Caenorhabditis elegans: one gene and its partner. The protein of the gene in region 2 purifies or fractionates together with the protein of the main gene of each other region. This does not show direct contact. Each region holds a gene or a part of one and is shown on either strand. Other genes may lie near its edges. The genes, in order: gda-1 and C47B2.2.

What was found.
Region 1: the proteins of C47B2.2 (region 2) and gda-1 fractionate together in Caenorhabditis elegans (co-fractionation; one large-scale study listed by BioGRID). This does not show direct contact.

Annotation. Positions count from the first base shown.
Region 1 is NC_003281.10:11,022,550-11,030,563, forward strand, and holds gda-1 (CMP/dCMP-type deaminase domain-containing protein), read right to left. Parts: upstream 4,018-8,014; 5' UTR 3,993-4,017; coding exon 3,758-3,992; intron 3,450-3,757; coding exon 3,331-3,449; intron 2,892-3,330; coding exon 2,739-2,891; 3' UTR 2,690-2,738; downstream 1-2,689. Other genes in the region: putative voltage-gated potassium channel subunit kvs-4, read left to right, coding at 36-113, 575-825, 910-1,043, 1,102-1,127, 1,208-1,237, 1,533-1,603, 2,504-2,620; Y48A6B.8 (Wsv161), read right to left, coding at 4,785-4,854, 4,905-5,063, 5,117-5,221, 5,277-5,349, 5,401-5,512, 5,557-5,808, 5,853-5,966, 6,020-6,120 and 2 more.
Region 2 is NC_003279.8:12,959,715-12,967,821, reverse strand, and holds C47B2.2 (Phosphoribosyltransferase domain-containing protein), read left to right. Parts: upstream 1-3,242; 5' UTR 3,243-3,251; coding exon 3,252-3,418; intron 3,419-4,005; coding exon 4,006-4,247; intron 4,248-4,773; coding exon 4,774-4,855; intron 4,856-5,166; coding exon 5,167-5,371; 3' UTR 5,372-5,780; downstream 5,781-8,107. Other genes in the region: pbs-2 (Proteasome subunit beta), read left to right, coding at 1-121, 180-434; tba-2 (Tubulin alpha-2 chain), read left to right, coding at 1,559-2,251, 2,302-2,822, 2,876-3,008; fbxa-140 (F-box domain-containing protein), read left to right, coding at 6,361-6,413, 6,468-7,140, 7,190-7,450; fbxa-101 (DUF38 domain-containing protein), read left to right, coding at 7,903-7,961, 8,017-8,100.

The DNA of each region.
Region 1 (8,014 bases), on a different chromosome or scaffold from region 2:
TCTGGGCTTTCAACTTTTCTTTACCTGTTTTACAGAATTCACGGAAATGGAGCCTATGCCAATTTTAGGATATATCGAATATGTTTGCATTGTTTGGTTTACTATGGAGTACGGTAAGGCAATTTCAAATTTTGTAAAAAAAACGTTTTGGCGGGAAATTAAAATTTTCCGAATAAAAATTTAGCGCGAAATTCAAATTTTGTGCGACGAACTTTGCAGGGAATTTAAAGTTTTGTGAGAAAACTTGTGCGGGGGATTTTTTGGCGGGAATTTCAATTTTCGCAAAAAAGAAACTAGGCAAAATTCAACTTTTATGAAAAACATTTGGCGGGAAATTCAAATTTATGAAAACAATTTTGGCAGAAAATTTAAATTTTGCGGGGAATTTTTTGGGGCGAAATTTAAATTTGTGGAAAATTTTAGGCGCGAAACTCAACGAAAATTCTAGAAAATTCAAAACCCTGCTAAAAATTTGTAAATTTTTGGAAGACATGGCAAATTTCTAAAAGCTTCTTAAAACAGTCAAAAATAAAAAATTCCGTACATTGAAAAATTGTTACTGTTTTTTCTTCAGGCCTAAAAATGTTGGTCAGTGCTGAGAGGAGCAAGACATTCCGGCAACTGCTCAACATCATAGATCTACTTGCTATCCTTCCATTTATCATAGAAATGCTTCTCTTAATTTTTGGAATATCAACGGAGCAACTACGGGACCTCAAAGGAGCATTCCTTGTTATTCGAATTCTTCGAGTGCTCAGAGTCATTCGTGTGCTCAAGTTGGGACGATATTCCAGTGGTCTGCAAATGTTCGGAAAAACTTTGAAAGTAGGTCCAAGTTTTGATTTCGCGCCAAAATTTTTTGAAAGAAAAATGGCTTTTTGACTCCGCCCCTTTATTGGCAATTTTCAGGCGTCATTCCGTCAACTGGGTATGATGGCAATGGTTGTAATGACAGGTGTCATATTTTTCTCGACTTTGGTATATTTTTTGGAAAAAGACGAGCCCGCTTCAAAATTCCATTCAATTCCGGCGGCGTGTTGGTGGTAAGACACTTTTTTTCCAAAAATATTTGAAATTTTTTGAAAAAAAACTGATATTTAGGTGTATTGTCACCATGACAACAGTCGGTAAGATATAAATGTTGTAACGTACTTTGTTTCGGAAATTTTTGAAAATTTTAAAATAAAATATAAAACGAAATTTTCAGGGTACGGGGACCTGACTCCGGTTACAGTTCGTAAGTTTTTTAAAATTAATTTAATTTTAAAAAATTCAGATTTCTTGTGATTTTGTTCCCTTGGGCATATATTTTGGGCACTATTTTTCAAGTTTTGGGTTACTGTAGCGCCAAAAGTACGCAGTACACCAAACCTCACGACAAAATGCACAGATTTTTTAAATTGCGCAAAAAAAGGCTGGTTAGGGTAAAAATGTCGGTGAGCACAAATTTTGACATGAAAAATCTTTAAAAACTATTTAAGCCTAGTTTTTTATTCAATTTTCACTAAAAAAAAATTTTTTTTTAATTTCAGCTGGAAAACTGGTGGCAACTGGGGCAATCGCGTGTGGAGTCTTGGTTTTAGCATTGCCCATCACAATTATAGTGAGTTTTGTGATTTTTCAGAGTATTTTTTTTATGTATTAGCTTTTCCAACAATGTACTTTAGGCTCAAGTCGCATTCTCACTGAAATCGCGAGAACGTGAGAAAATGGCAAAACGTGTGTTTTTTGATGAATAAATGTGCATTTTTCACTCACACAAGCTTATGCAATAGTGATTTGAGAATAAAATTTTGATAGAAAACAAAAACCAAATTAGCTCCGCTGGTGTGTCATTGAAAATTTTTTTTTTGAAACTCTTGTATCTTTGCAGGTATTTAATTTAAAAAATAGTTTAGAACTAATAAAATGTGCAAAATTTTGTGTAGAACAATTTGTTAGTTGATAACTTTTCAGTAGAATCAATCGTTGTTGAGATATGACGATTTTAGCGAAGTTACAGGTTACTGTAGCTCTGGAAGTACGCAGTGCACCGAATCTTACGACAACATGCACAAAACTTTAAAATTGTGCAAAATATGCTTTTTGGGTAAACACGTGGTGTCAGAGTGTCCCATTTCGGCTTGATCTTCTTAGATCTACAAAAAATGCGGGAAACGAGACGCAGAGTTCTCAACTGATTTCGCATGGTTAAGAACGTGTTGACTTCACATTTTTTTAGGCAAAAAATTCCCGCATTTTTTGTAGATCAAACCGCAATGGGACAGATTGGCGCCACGTTTTAAAACCTGTGCGTTTTGCCGTAAGATTCGGTGTATCGCGTACTCTTAGGGCACAAGTAACCCGTAATGCGTCATATCTCTGAAAAAACAAAACTTTGAGCACTTTTCTTTACTAAAAACGTTTTTTTTTCAATTCTAACCCTGCACATTACAAGATTTTCAACAGAAAATTTGATAGCCAGGAAACAAATTTTCTTCTAATTTTTTTTTTTAATTTTCAGGTCGATAACTTCATGAAAGTGGCTGAAACTGAACGTCCGGCGGGTGGAAATCGATATCGAACATCTCAATACCCAAAAGCTACAAAATCCGAGCAAATGATTTTGAAAGTTACCTAAAAAAAGTTTGAAATTTTGCCAATTTTGCCAATTTTTCCCCAACCGTCCCAATGTATTTGTCTTTTTATATGTTTTTCAAATTTTATTTAACGAAACAATTTTCAAAAAAATACTCCAATTAATATTCTGTCTTGTCCGGTTTGTTGGACCACATTTGGAATGGGAGTAGGTAGTTGTCGGCTGCCAAATGCTCCAATTTTCGGATTTCATCGCTTTTCGGGTCTTTTAGGAAGTCGTGGAATGCTTTGTCGTCGAATCCAATCTCGGCCGCCTGGAAGAACTTGTTTTATTTGGAAAAGGTTTTTTTTTTTGGGTTACTGTGTCACCGAAAATACGCAGTGCACCAAAGCTTACGACAAAATGCACAGTTTTTTTTTAAATTGAACTGAAAAAAGGTGCAGAATTCGATTTTTTTAGTAAAAAATTTTGAAAATTACTTTTTCCAAGGGTTTCCACAAATTAATGAACTTGAGAAAATGCACAAAATTATGGATTTTTACAGGCAATTTCTAGATTAGGTCTATAACTGGTTTGAACAGATTCGGTAAAATTTCAAAAGTTTGTGATTTTGCCGTAAGGTCCGGTGTATTGCGTACTTTTGGTGCTACAGTAACCCAAAGTTTGAAAAATAACCCCGAACGTCACTAAAATTGATAAAAGCTCTTAAAGAGACAGTAATAGTGTAAAAAATTAGTTTTTATGAAAATCACCTGCTGAGCAGTTGCTCCGTAGTAAATTGCGTCGAATCGAGCCCAAAGGCATCCGCCCATGCACATTGGGCATGGATAGCAAGATGTGTACAAAATATGTCCAGATAGGTCAAAAGTTCCTGAAAACGTGAATTTCAATTAAAAACTTATCGAAAAAAAACGTCGAAAAAATTTAGCATTTTTTAACAGAAAAATAGTTAATCGTTGTTTTTTTTCAATTTTCAAAAATAATTTTAAACTATCTAACTTGTAAAATTATGTGAAAAAATTTGCTCTAATTCGAGAAAAAATTCTGCAACTTTTTTTTTGAAAAAAAAAATCCTAAAAATCGCAAAAAAATTTTTTAAGAAATATAGGAAATCGAGGTTGTAAAATTCAAATGTTATGTCAATTTATCACTAGATGCTCTAAATATTCGTGTGCCTACCCAATGCCTTGCAGGCATTCTTAATAGCAGTCATCTCGGCGTGCATTGTCGGATCCTTGGTGACCAGCACCATATTGTGGCCTTTTGCGACCACTTTCCCGTTTGAATCAACTACAACCGCACCGAATGGTCCACCATCTCCACACTCGACACCTCGACAAGCTTCTGCGACAGCTTCGGCCATGTGCTCAGCGTGATGGGGTGGGAGAGGCTTATCAGAGGCGGATGGGCTCATTTTATAGTAGGAGTTGGGGAAGGTTCTGAAAAAAAATTAGTAAGGTCTGACGAAGAAAGGAAATTTTCGAGGTGAGCAGGCGGGTTTTTGTTGAAAAAACTCCCAAAAAAGTAAATAAAAAATTCTAAAAATTCAACAAAATGCAACAAATTTTTCCCCCAAAAAACCCAAAAATTCGCGTCGAAAGTGGCAAAACGTCTTTGAAACAGGTCACGATCATCATCGTCTTATCACAAAGTGATCCCTTATCAGCGACGAGCTTTTCCACCCCCAGCTGCCCGAGCCAACCACGTGAGCTCCGCGAGCACTTTCTTTTTTTTTTTGGTTTTTCTGGTATGATGTCTGTTGTAAGATTATTTAATTGATAAGAAATTAAAAAAGGTTTTGATAAGAAAATTTGTGAGAAATGGAAGAAAATTGAAAATTTATGGGGGCCTAGTATCAGGTGAGAGAGTGGCAGGGGAAAGTGCAAGAGGTGGTAGATCAAATAATTAAAAACTGAAGCTTTTGCGGGGAACTCGGCATTCACCGCCAGCTTCTTGCCCAAGTTTCACCCAAGAAAAATTAACATGGATTAGAAGCTGGCCAAACTTGGGCAAAACTTGGGTAAAACTTGGGCTAAACTTGGGCTAAACTTGGGCAAGACCTTGGTGATTATAGATGCGAATTATGCCGCGCTTTTACTTTATTCTTTAGACGATTTCCTGTGGAAAATATTTATTTAAGGACAAAACATGAACAGGGTTAACAACAAAAATCAATTACAAAAAAAAAACAACGAAAAATTAAGCTTCAGTGGGTGGAGTCTTTGACCGATCGTCCAGCAGCGGAGACATCATGCTCATTGCGTTGACCGGTTGCACTGTAATGAAAATGTATTGGTTTATCGATTAAAAGTATTGAGTTACTTACAATCTGATAACTTCTTCTGGTGACGTTTCCATCCTCTGATGCTGTTCTCTGAACTTTCGAACCTGTCCCCACTTGAGATGATGCTCGCAATAAGATGGTTTATTGCAGTTGAATAGTGCTCCTTTGGCAATATCAAAGTGATATGTTCGAAGATTGTTCCTGAAATCATATCATTTTTTTTTACATTTTACAATTTTTACGAGATTTCTTACATTGCTTTGCCAAGGGCTTCTACTGCGTTCTTGAACACTGTGATTCTTTCGTCCCTACGGCGCTGAACCTCAAGTTCTGCTCCTTCTCCAAGCGTTTTGATGAATCTAGAAGAAATGAAATGAATAATTCAAAATTGTTTAAAGTTGGTTCATGTCTTACTCATGCTCCCTATCAATCGAACCGTATGACAGCTCAACCGGCAAATAAACTCCAACAATATCGAATGCGACTTCTGAAAAAAACATGATTTTGTGATTAGAAATTGTTCACATCTTAAACGCACCAATAATCGCTGTTGTCACTTTTTGTGGTAACTCTTGAAAATGTCTATCAACACGGCGAACACAGCTTGGTCGGTAAGTAAATGCCCAGATTTTATAAGAAGGCTCCAGCATCTGAATTGAATTTATTATTTTTATATATCAAAATGTCAACTTACAGTTTTCAAGGCAACCATATAGAAATTTGAAAGTTGCGAGACGGCATCACCTCCAATCAAGAGTTCAGAGTTATAAATATCTGTGAGATTACACGTAGGAAACCCGTCAGCTTGTGAAATTGTGTGGTTCATCGTAAGTGTTCGTTTCACGATACATCCAGCGTTCAACTGCTTTGAAATTTTCGATGTCAGGGTGTGCACGTTTGCTGCAAGTGCGGTGTAATTCCCATCCTTAGGATCCTGCATTTTAAACTGAAAAAAGTATTAGGATATGAAATTGATTAATTACGGCCTGCCATCATCATCTGTGCAATTTGAATAGACTCTTTCTCGTCTTCTGTAGATTGTCTGAGAGCCTGGACGAACTGTAGGATCGAGAAGTTTGGACGAGTTGTATGTTTACAAAATTCCTTAAAATTAAGATATTAAGATTAAATATTTGGATATTTTGGATATTTTGCACCTCTATCTGGATCTCTGAAAGAGTTCCATTTTCTAATCCCTTCTTCACAACGTTGCCCATTTCCATAACATCTTGATTTCGAACCGCTGATTCCAGTTGCTCTGAAAATTACAATTTGCTTTAAACTCAAGATTTAGTTTCAATGTGACTTACCAATCATAGTTTTCTGGACCGCTCTGTTTTGTAGATGCTGAAAAACATCAAATCCCGCGGAGGTACTTGATCTGTCTGTGCTGTCCCCGGTTGCCTCATTGCTTTGTGAGCAACATGTTCCTTCACGAAGTTTCTGTTTTCGATAGGCTGTGCGCCCAGCCTTTGAATCAATTGTACCAGTTTTTGCGCGATTATTTGTCAGTACAGAATGTACAGAATGCTCTTTAAGGAATGGCGAGCACGAAATTTCACTCTTGACTTTTTTATAAGCGAAGTTGTTTTCAATTTCTTGCTCCTCCACTCCGACTTCCTCTTCAACTTCATCTTCGTTTCCGTTTCCACTCTCCTCATATTCTTCGTCGTCCAATTCTTCATCATCTATTTCGTCTTCAATGTCGTCTTCAATTCCGTACCCGTGCTCAAAAATCACTGGTTTTTTTGGGAATACAACTGGCTTCATAGTCGTTATAGTGTTCTCTCCAGAATAAAAGTTTTCGTAGTCGTCATCGTTCTTTTTTTTCTTGTTAACCGAAGATGTTCGAGTACTGGTTGCAAGTGGCTTCATCTTCCCTCTTGGATCTTCCCTCTTATGACGAATGGAACGTGTCGATCTTGGGGTATTTTCATTTCCAGTCGGAGCCTGAATTTTACTTTTGCTAATTTTCTAATGAGGATTATTAACTCACCGAAACTTTTCTTCTCTTAAGAGGCGCCATATTTAGATTCCAAAGTTAAATTATACTGAAAGTGATTAATGAATTAAATAACAGCGAAAAAGGCAAATATTTTCGAGAACAAAAAGGATAAAATAATAGTTTACAAATAAAATAAGAGAGTGTCAAAGAAAAAACAAAAAACAGTTAATTATATGTGTAAAATTGAGAAAAAATTATTGAAAATGATAAAATATGACGGAAATAGGAAGAAAAATTAACGATAATTAAAAGAGAAAGTTGATTTCGAAATTAATAATCATTGCGTTAAGAGCGCTGCGGATGAGCGCTGTGTGCCTAAACTTGGGCCAAACTTGGGCCAAATTTTGGCCAAACTTGGGTAGTAAGAAGTGGCGCGTAGCAACTCGGTTAAACTTGGGTGAAACTTTGGCTAAAGATTGTTTAAAGTTGTTTCAGAGTTTGGTAAGATAATCTGTATCAGAATATCTAAAGTTGGGTGAAACTTAGGTCAAACTTGGGCAAGACTTTGGCGAAACTTGGGTAAGAAGCTGCTGAGTAGCTAAAGTTGGGCAAGAAGCTGCAGGTAAATGCCGAGAAACTGGACACTTCTTATCGGGAAACCTATGTATATTGGAAGAGCAGATATTAAATTGGGTACTACAAAAAAATGAATCACAAGAAAAAATTTTGAACTAGAAAAAAGTTGAGCTGAAATTTTCAAACTTGGGAAATTTTTTTTTCACAATTTAGGATTGAAAATTTTTGAAGTTTTTATTATTTAAAAAAAATTATTCAATTAAGCTGAATTTAAAAAAAAACTTTTCGATTACTGAATTTTCAAAAAATAGAACTTGGAAAATTCATCTGAATTTTTCTTGAAATATTTAAGTTTGTTTTCATTTTGAATTATTTAATTTATGTTTTTAAAAATTATAAAAATGTTGAATTTTTTAAATTGAAATTTTTTATTCAAAAAAATCTGAATTTTTAAGAAGAAAATTAAAAAATTCCAAAATGATGTCCGAATATTTTTTTTGTTATCTAGACAGCGTTAAAATTGCCGAAAGTATGCAGAAAATCACCAGAAAAATTTGATAATTTTTTTTCGAGTTCAAAGAACTAATCTGTTGCTGAATTTTTTGTTGGAGCATTTTCAAAAATTCGTGCA
Region 2 (8,107 bases):
CCCACATCTTTATATGTGCTCCGCCAACGGAACTACAATGGCCTTCCCATTCACAGCTCAAGGATCTGGATCATATGCAGCTATCACTATTTTGGAGCGTGATTTTAAGGTTGATATGACGGTAAGTAGTCTATTTTTGAATTCCAATGCGCTAAAAATACTATAATTATATTTTTCAGAAAGATGAAGCCGAGAAGCTTGTCCAACGCGCCCTGGAAGCCGGTATGCACGGTGACAACGCCTCAGGAAACAGTTTGAATCTTGTGATCATCGAGCCAAGCGAGACCGTCTTCAAGGGGCCAATTGTGCCAGAATTCTGCAAGCGACCAGAGCCCAACGACCTCGTCTACAAATTCCAGGCCGGAGCCACCAAGGTGCTGAAACACAAGACCTACAAGTACGACGTCGTCGAGTCCATGGATATCACTCACTAAATTGCGGTCTTCTGTCGATGTGTGTATTCTTTCCCCCAATTATTTATTTTTTTTCGATTTTCCATCCGTTTCGGTGTCGTCGGTGATTACTTTTTTCGGTATTTTCGTATCCGCCGGCAGTTCTTATCACATTTGTTTTATAAATTCCGAATATAAACTGTCTATTTTCCTTAAAACTGGTATTGTTTGTTGTCTTAATTTGGACTGAAAGCCGGAAAAATGACTTGAAAAACGCTTTCAAGTGTTTTTCCCAATAGTAAAAGTTACTCTCCGGGTTTTAAAAGGAAAAAACTGCGAAATGAATAGATTTTCCAGATCTGAATTGAAAACTTTCTGCGAAAAACTAATTTCCACCTGAATTCTTCTCAAAAGTCAAGAGAGAAGAGTCAAAACTCACAAGAAAAAAATAATCCGATTTGAATTGCCGCGCAGAGAGTTAGATGTGCAGGTCATATAGCAAACACGCTCCACCCACCAATCATTGGCGCGAAACATTTTTTTGTATCTTGTTCTGACTCATTTCCCTGCCTTCCCCGTCGTAATCAGTGTCGTTTTTCCGAAAAATTCCAAATTTTATCATTATTTTATCAGTTTTCCATAGTTTACCCTCATTCGGCCGTGTTCCGGCCCTTTCAAAAATGTTTGTTTTCACGTAAAATCGAATTTTGAAGACGTGAAGCTTCTTCAAGTTGAAATTCAACATTTTCAAATCATTTTGCGATTTCACAAGACGGTTTTCTGCTGCATCTTCCTTGATTAATCTCCGAAAGCACGTATGTTTCAAAATGACTCAAAGTAATCCCATTGGGAATTGCGAAATTCCCATTGTTATTCTCTGGGTCTCTTACAACGGGGTTTTGGCTCCCTTGCAGTCCACTCCTTTGCACTCATTTCAATCCGCTCTCCACTGGCGCCCCGCTATTTCGTCATCATTTTTTTGCAATCGATGACTTGTCCACCGCGGTGTCCGATGTTGGGCTATGTTGAGAGAGCGCGCGCGCTCGTGCGTTCTCGGCCCTATTTGGGCTCACTTTCGTCTCTGCTCTCACCGCAATCGTTTCGTTCTCATATAACAATTGTCTTTCTCTTTTAAAACTTTATAATTTTCTTTTTCAGAAAAGAAAATGCGTGAGGTCATCTCTATCCACGTCGGACAAGCCGGAGTCCAAATCGGAAACGCCTGCTGGGAGCTCTACTGCCTCGAGCACGGAATCCAGCCCGATGGAACCATGCCAACTCAATCAACGAACGAGGGAGAGTCGTTCACCACTTTCTTCTCAGACACCGGATCCGGCCGTTACGTTCCAAGATCCATCTTCGTCGATCTCGAGCCAACTGTCGTTGACGAGATTCGCACTGGAACCTACAAGAAGCTCTTCCATCCAGAGCAGATGATCACCGGAAAGGAAGACGCCGCTAACAACTACGCTCGTGGACACTACACCGTCGGAAAGGAGCTCATCGACACCGTCCTCGACAGGATCCGTCGTCTCGCTGATAACTGCAGTGGACTCCAAGGATTCTTCGTCTTCCACTCCTTCGGAGGAGGTACCGGATCCGGATTCACTTCGCTTCTTATGGAACGTCTTTCCGTCGACTACGGAAAGAAGTCCAAGCTCGAGTTCTCCATCTACCCAGCTCCACAGGTCTCAACCGCCGTCGTTGAGCCATACAACTCGATCCTCACCACCCATACCACCTTGGAGCACTCCGACTGCGCCTTCATGGTCGATAACGAGGCCATCTACGACATCTGCCGCAGAAACTTGGATGTTGAGCGACCAAGCTACACCAACCTCAACAGAATCATCTCCCAGGTTTGTTGAGCTCAATTTGATTGTTGTATTCTAATGTTCTCTTTTTACAGGTTGTCTCCTCAATCACTGCTTCCTTGAGATTCGATGGAGCCCTCAACGTTGATCTCAACGAGTTCCAGACCAACTTGGTGCCATACCCAAGAATTCACTTCCCATTGGCCGCCTACACTCCACTCATCTCTGCTGAGAAGGCCTACCACGAGGCTCTGTCCGTCAGCGACATCACCAATAGCTGCTTCGAGCCGGCTAACCAGATGGTCAAGTGTGATCCACGTCACGGAAAGTACATGGCTGTGTGCCTCTTGTACAGAGGAGACGTCGTTCCAAAGGACGTTAACACCGCCATCGCTGCAATCAAGACCAAGAGAACCATCCAATTCGTCGATTGGTGCCCAACCGGATTCAAGGTCGGAATCAACTACCAGCCACCAACTGTTGTGCCAGGAGGTGATCTTGCCAAGGTGCCACGCGCCGTCTGCATGCTCTCCAACACTACCGCCATCGCTGAGGCCTGGTCTCGTCTCGACTACAAGTTCGACTTGATGTACGCCAAGCGTGCCTTCGTCCACTGGTATGTTGCCCGTTAAACTATACTTTTCAAATATTCAATGTGTTTCTTTTCAGGTACGTCGGAGAAGGTATGGAGGAAGGAGAGTTCACCGAGGCTCGTGAGGACTTGGCTGCTCTCGAGAAGGACTACGAAGAGGTCGGAGCTGACTCCAACGAGGGAGGAGAAGAGGAGGGAGAGGAGTACTAGATGCTCCCACAATCAACTGCCTGGCGATTGACTTTTAATTTATTACTGCAGTTCGATCGTCATAAACAATGTATTATGAAGTATTTTATTTATATAATGTTTTTTGTTAAAAAGAGAAAGAATGAAAGTCGGAACACTTTACGTTTATACCGAGTTGAGTGCCGCAGAGCAAACATGTACAAGCCGACAGTATTTGAGCAGCAGACGCTTGTTCTGCTCATCGATCAGTATTAGATTACAGAAATGGCTGGGCATGTGAATGGAACATGTGCTCCAGTGATTCCAAAGGTTGGTGATGAGGAAGACGGTGTCGGGCAGTTGGTGGCAAATCTGAAAGAGAAGGGAACAAATTTTGTTCTTTTGAAGAAGACTCCACAGATACTTGAATTGCAGACAATTTTGAAAGATAGGTATGAAGTTTGACTGGGAATAGACTGAAGCCTCAAACATTTTATGGGTGAAAATTTAAAGAAAGGGGCTGAAAACTCATATTTCCAAGCTCTTTTTCCAGATTTTGCGGAAAAATTAACGATTTTCGGTATTTTTGCCGGAAAAACTTGTTGATTTTAAATAAACTCCTTTTTTGCCTTAAAAAGCGATTTTCTTGGAATTTAGATTTTAAAAATCCGTTAATTCACAAATTTTCGGGTCAGAAACGGCATTTTAAGCGATTTTGCCAGTAAATTAGGAGAAAAATAGAAAACGTTTTCATTTTTTGGCCTTTTTGCCGTGAAATTAACTGAAATTTTGATTAAAAAACGTTTTTTTTTGTTAGAAAACATGAATATATTTATTTATATAAATGAATTTTTCAAGGATTTTCTCGGATTTTGAGTCAAAATTCCGATATTTTCATAAATTTCCGGGTCCGAAACGGTATTTTTCGTGATTTCCTCGCAATTTTAGAAGTTTTCCTTGTAAAAATTGGTTGAGGCTCAGAGAATCTTGTAGTTTGTAGTTTGTAGCCCCATAGCCTCAACCATCTTCCAATTTCCAGATCAACAAATCACTCGGATTTCGTATTCAACGCGGATCGTCTGATGCGGCTTGTAATTGAAGAATGTCTCAATCATCTTCCATTCACTGAGCACACAGTTACCACACCAACAGGCTTCAAATATGAAGGAATTCAATTTAATCGTGGAAATTGTGGAGTATCGTTGTGTAGAAGTGGAGAGGCGATGGAAGTTTCATTGAGACAGTGTTGTCGGTGTATTCGAATTGGAAAAATTCTGATTGGTACGGGAAATTGAGGATATCGAGAGGAATTTGGGAAATTTCCTAGAAAAGGCGAAGAAAATTGAGAAATATAGAAGAAAATGGCGAAAAATCACCAAAATCATTGCGATTTTCATCAATTTCTCCCTGAAATTACCTGGAATCTCTTATAAATGCAGATTTCTGCTTGAAAAATGGAAAAATCTGGTGAATATCCAGTTTTTATAGATTTTCTCCTGAATACCCCTCAAAATCTGTGAAAAGTCTGACTTTTCCTTCAAAAATACCTCTAATTCGTAGAGAAACTCGTTTTTTCAGCCGAAAAATGTTTTTTTTTTTAAATCTGTAATAAATATGTACTGTTCTTATGGTAAAATTCCTGAAAAATATATTAAAAATATATATAATAGTAAAATTTGCGTTTTTACCCAGAAAAGTGGTAGAAATCGTGAGTTTTACTGAGTTTGTCGAAAACTGGCGATACTTTTTTAAAAGAAAAACCTCAAAACTCGCAAAATTTCCAATTTTCATCCACTTTTTGTTACAGGCGACGAACAAAAAGTGCTCTACGCCAGGCTTCTTCCGGATATCACGTCGCGTCGAGTTCTACTGCTCTACCCAACGATAGGGTACGCTCAGAGACTACAAACTACAAAAAATATCTGGCCGAAATAAATTTGATTGAAAAATCTGAGAAAAAAAACACAAAATTTAATGTCAAAAAATCGATTTTCCCGGCGAAAAATCGTAAAATTCAATAATTTGTTTGACGTAGAAACTTTAAAAATGTCGATCACTAAAACTTCCCCAGAAGGCGAAAAATTGTCTAAAAAATTGAGTTTTTTTTTGTGCAAAAAAAATCTTTTTTTGAAATTTTTTTAACTGAAGAAACATTTAAATTTAAAAAATCACATTTTTATCAAAATTTCCAATTTTTCAGATCTGGGACGACAGTTTGCAAGGCAATTGAAGTCCTAAAAGAGGCACGTGTCCCAGATGAGAATATCTACTTGGTTTCCCTATTCATCTCACCGACTGGACTCAAGAATATAACCAGAAAGTACCCGTATATCACTGTCGTCGCCTCCGATATCACATCTCTCTATCCAAATCATTTCTCAACCAGCTATTTTGGTGCTGTCTAGACTAGTTTTGTGTAGTTTGTAGCCTTTTGACACTACAAACTACATCGTTTCCGTTTCAAATGCAGTATTTTTATTCACTTTTCTCACTTGATCATCTCTTCATTTCTCGTTATTGGTTTGTAGTTTGTAGTTATTGTAGTCTTCTTTTTTACTTTTTCACTGTTGATTTCCCCTATTTTTTTTTGACAAAATGTTCATTGAATTTCCGCATAACTAAATTCTTTTGTGTTGTTTTCGGTTCATTAAACATTATTTTAAGATGCAATGACTACGGTAGTCATTTTCTGAGTACATGGTGTGCGTACAGGGCGCTATATTTTACGCGCAAAGTTGAGAGTGAGATTTTTCCTCATTTTTTGGATTTTCACTGCAAATTTAAGAAATTTTACGAAAATAAACGTTTTATTTCAAATTCTATTTGCTACTTTGCATGCAAATTGTTTTTTTTTCATTATATTCTGAAAATAAAATAAGTTAAAATTAGCCGTTTCAAAAAAAGTTTCCGAAACTACGGTAGTTCTCGGAGTACGCAACTTGCGTACCGGGCATCTCATTTGACGCACAGAATTCCTAGTTTATTGTTTTTGGATTTTCAAAATTTCAAACATAGTTTTTGCATTTTTCCTGTCGTTTTTGTGATTTTTATTTGTGAAAATTTATTAGACAGAAAAGAAATTTTCAGTTTTCACGAAATTTACTGGAAAATTTGTTATTTTACCGTTAGGTAACGTATTTTACAAAGATATTTCACTTTATCCGTATTTTCTTATTGTTTTCTTCACTTCAAACGATTGAAAACTGAATCAATCAAATAAATTTCCTATTTTTCAGGTAATTTGTCAAAATGACTGGCTCATCTCGTGGAATTGTCGAAATGACAAAGAAACTGGATCGATTAAATTGTTAGTGTTAAAATGAAATTTGCATCGGATTCAGTTTAAAATTTGCTTATTTTCAGATCGAAGAAAAGACCACTTACGCTTTTAAGCATGCCAGTTGATGTTATGGAGAAAGTTATGAAGAAAGTGGATCCATACGATTGGTATCAAATTTTGAATGTTAGGCAAATGTTAAAAAAAAACCAAATGAGTTTCAGGATTTCCGTCCGCAATTCCAATCGAAATCTTCGAGATTTCGTCGACAGCCAGCACCTCAAATTGGACATTGATGTTTCTATTGAGGGCACTTTTCACACCATTGATATCAATGGAAATCAATCCTTCGGACCTTTCCATCCGGTCGTGGCTGATGATGAAAGAAGAACCATCTACAATAAAAGACTACAGTTTGCTCTCAGAAAATTGTTCGTGGTTATGAAGCTTCCAAGTGCCCAAATTGAAGAGTTCAAACTGGATTTTGACTTTATGGGAAGAGGAAGTGACGAATTTGAAGATATCTACGATATTGGTTCCAGAAGAGTTAGTTTTAAAAATAAACTGTTGAGTGCAAGCCTGAGAACAATCGATAAGGAGTTTGGAGAGTTTCACTGTTTCCAAGCGAAATCAGTTTCTCTGAGTGGACTAAAGGAACCTCGAACTGTGCTCATTCTCAAATCTTTCAAGTCTGGAACTCTCGAGAACATTGAAATCATTAATTCCTACAAGTTCTACTTCAGTTGGCAGCTGACGCTTTCGGAGCAGTGGAAGAATGCGAAAAAACTGAAAACTGGACTTTCCACTGATCGCTACACCGGAATTCGAGTTGCTGAACTGTTCGCATTTTCAAATATCGAATTCACAACTGTAGTATTGTCATCTGATTTGAAAGTGGTATAGAAATTCTTAATTATTGATTAATTAATTTTAGATTTTTTTTCAGTTGGTTGATTCGTCTGCAAAGCTGGAAACTTGTCTCAGCAGGAACACGTATGACAGCGAGGATGACAGCGATGAAGATAGTGATGAAGACAGCGATGATGAGGACAATAGTGGAGTGTTAACGGTGTCAAAAGAAGTGCTCAAAGTGTTCGATCCGAACTTTGTTGGCTATAACGGAACAATCAATTACAAAGCAAATGGATTCGAATATCTCATTGAAGTCACTGAATTCGAAACTAAAATTGTGAAGAAAATCGAATAATCTTCTCATTTTTCAAAATTTGCTTTTGTTTTACTAGTCACATGAATTCTTATTTTGTTACTTTTTTTGTTTTGAAACTGATTAAACCAATAATTTGGGTTACGGCTGAATGTTACCTTCCGTTTAATATTTTGTAATCTTCCCAGTTTTTCTATATTTTAAAAGGAATTCTCGAATAGTTAACAAAGATCCTTTTCCAAACTACGGTAACTCTCAGAGTACGCAGTATGCGTACCGGGCATCTCATTTGACGCACAAAAATTCTAAATTTTTTTTTGAATTTTCAAATGTGGTTTATGCGTTTTTCTAACCAATTTTTTGTGATTTTTCCCCTGAAAATGATTTAAAATAAGTAAAATAACCTGTTTTTGTAAAAATTAATTTCGTTTTTACACATTGAACGTGATTTTCTATATTTACTCAAATTAATTTTTTTCAGGTAATTCGTCGACATGACTAGCCAAAGAGCAGAAATTGGTGAAACGACGGACAAGCAGAATTCCATGAAATTGTTAGTTATTTAGGCTACAATAATTTCAAATAACTTTTTTAAAACACATTTTCAGATCGAAGACAAGCTCGCCGACGCTTTTTGACTTGCCTCTGAATATTATGAAGAAAATTGTGAAGAAACTGCATCCATACGATTGGTAAGAT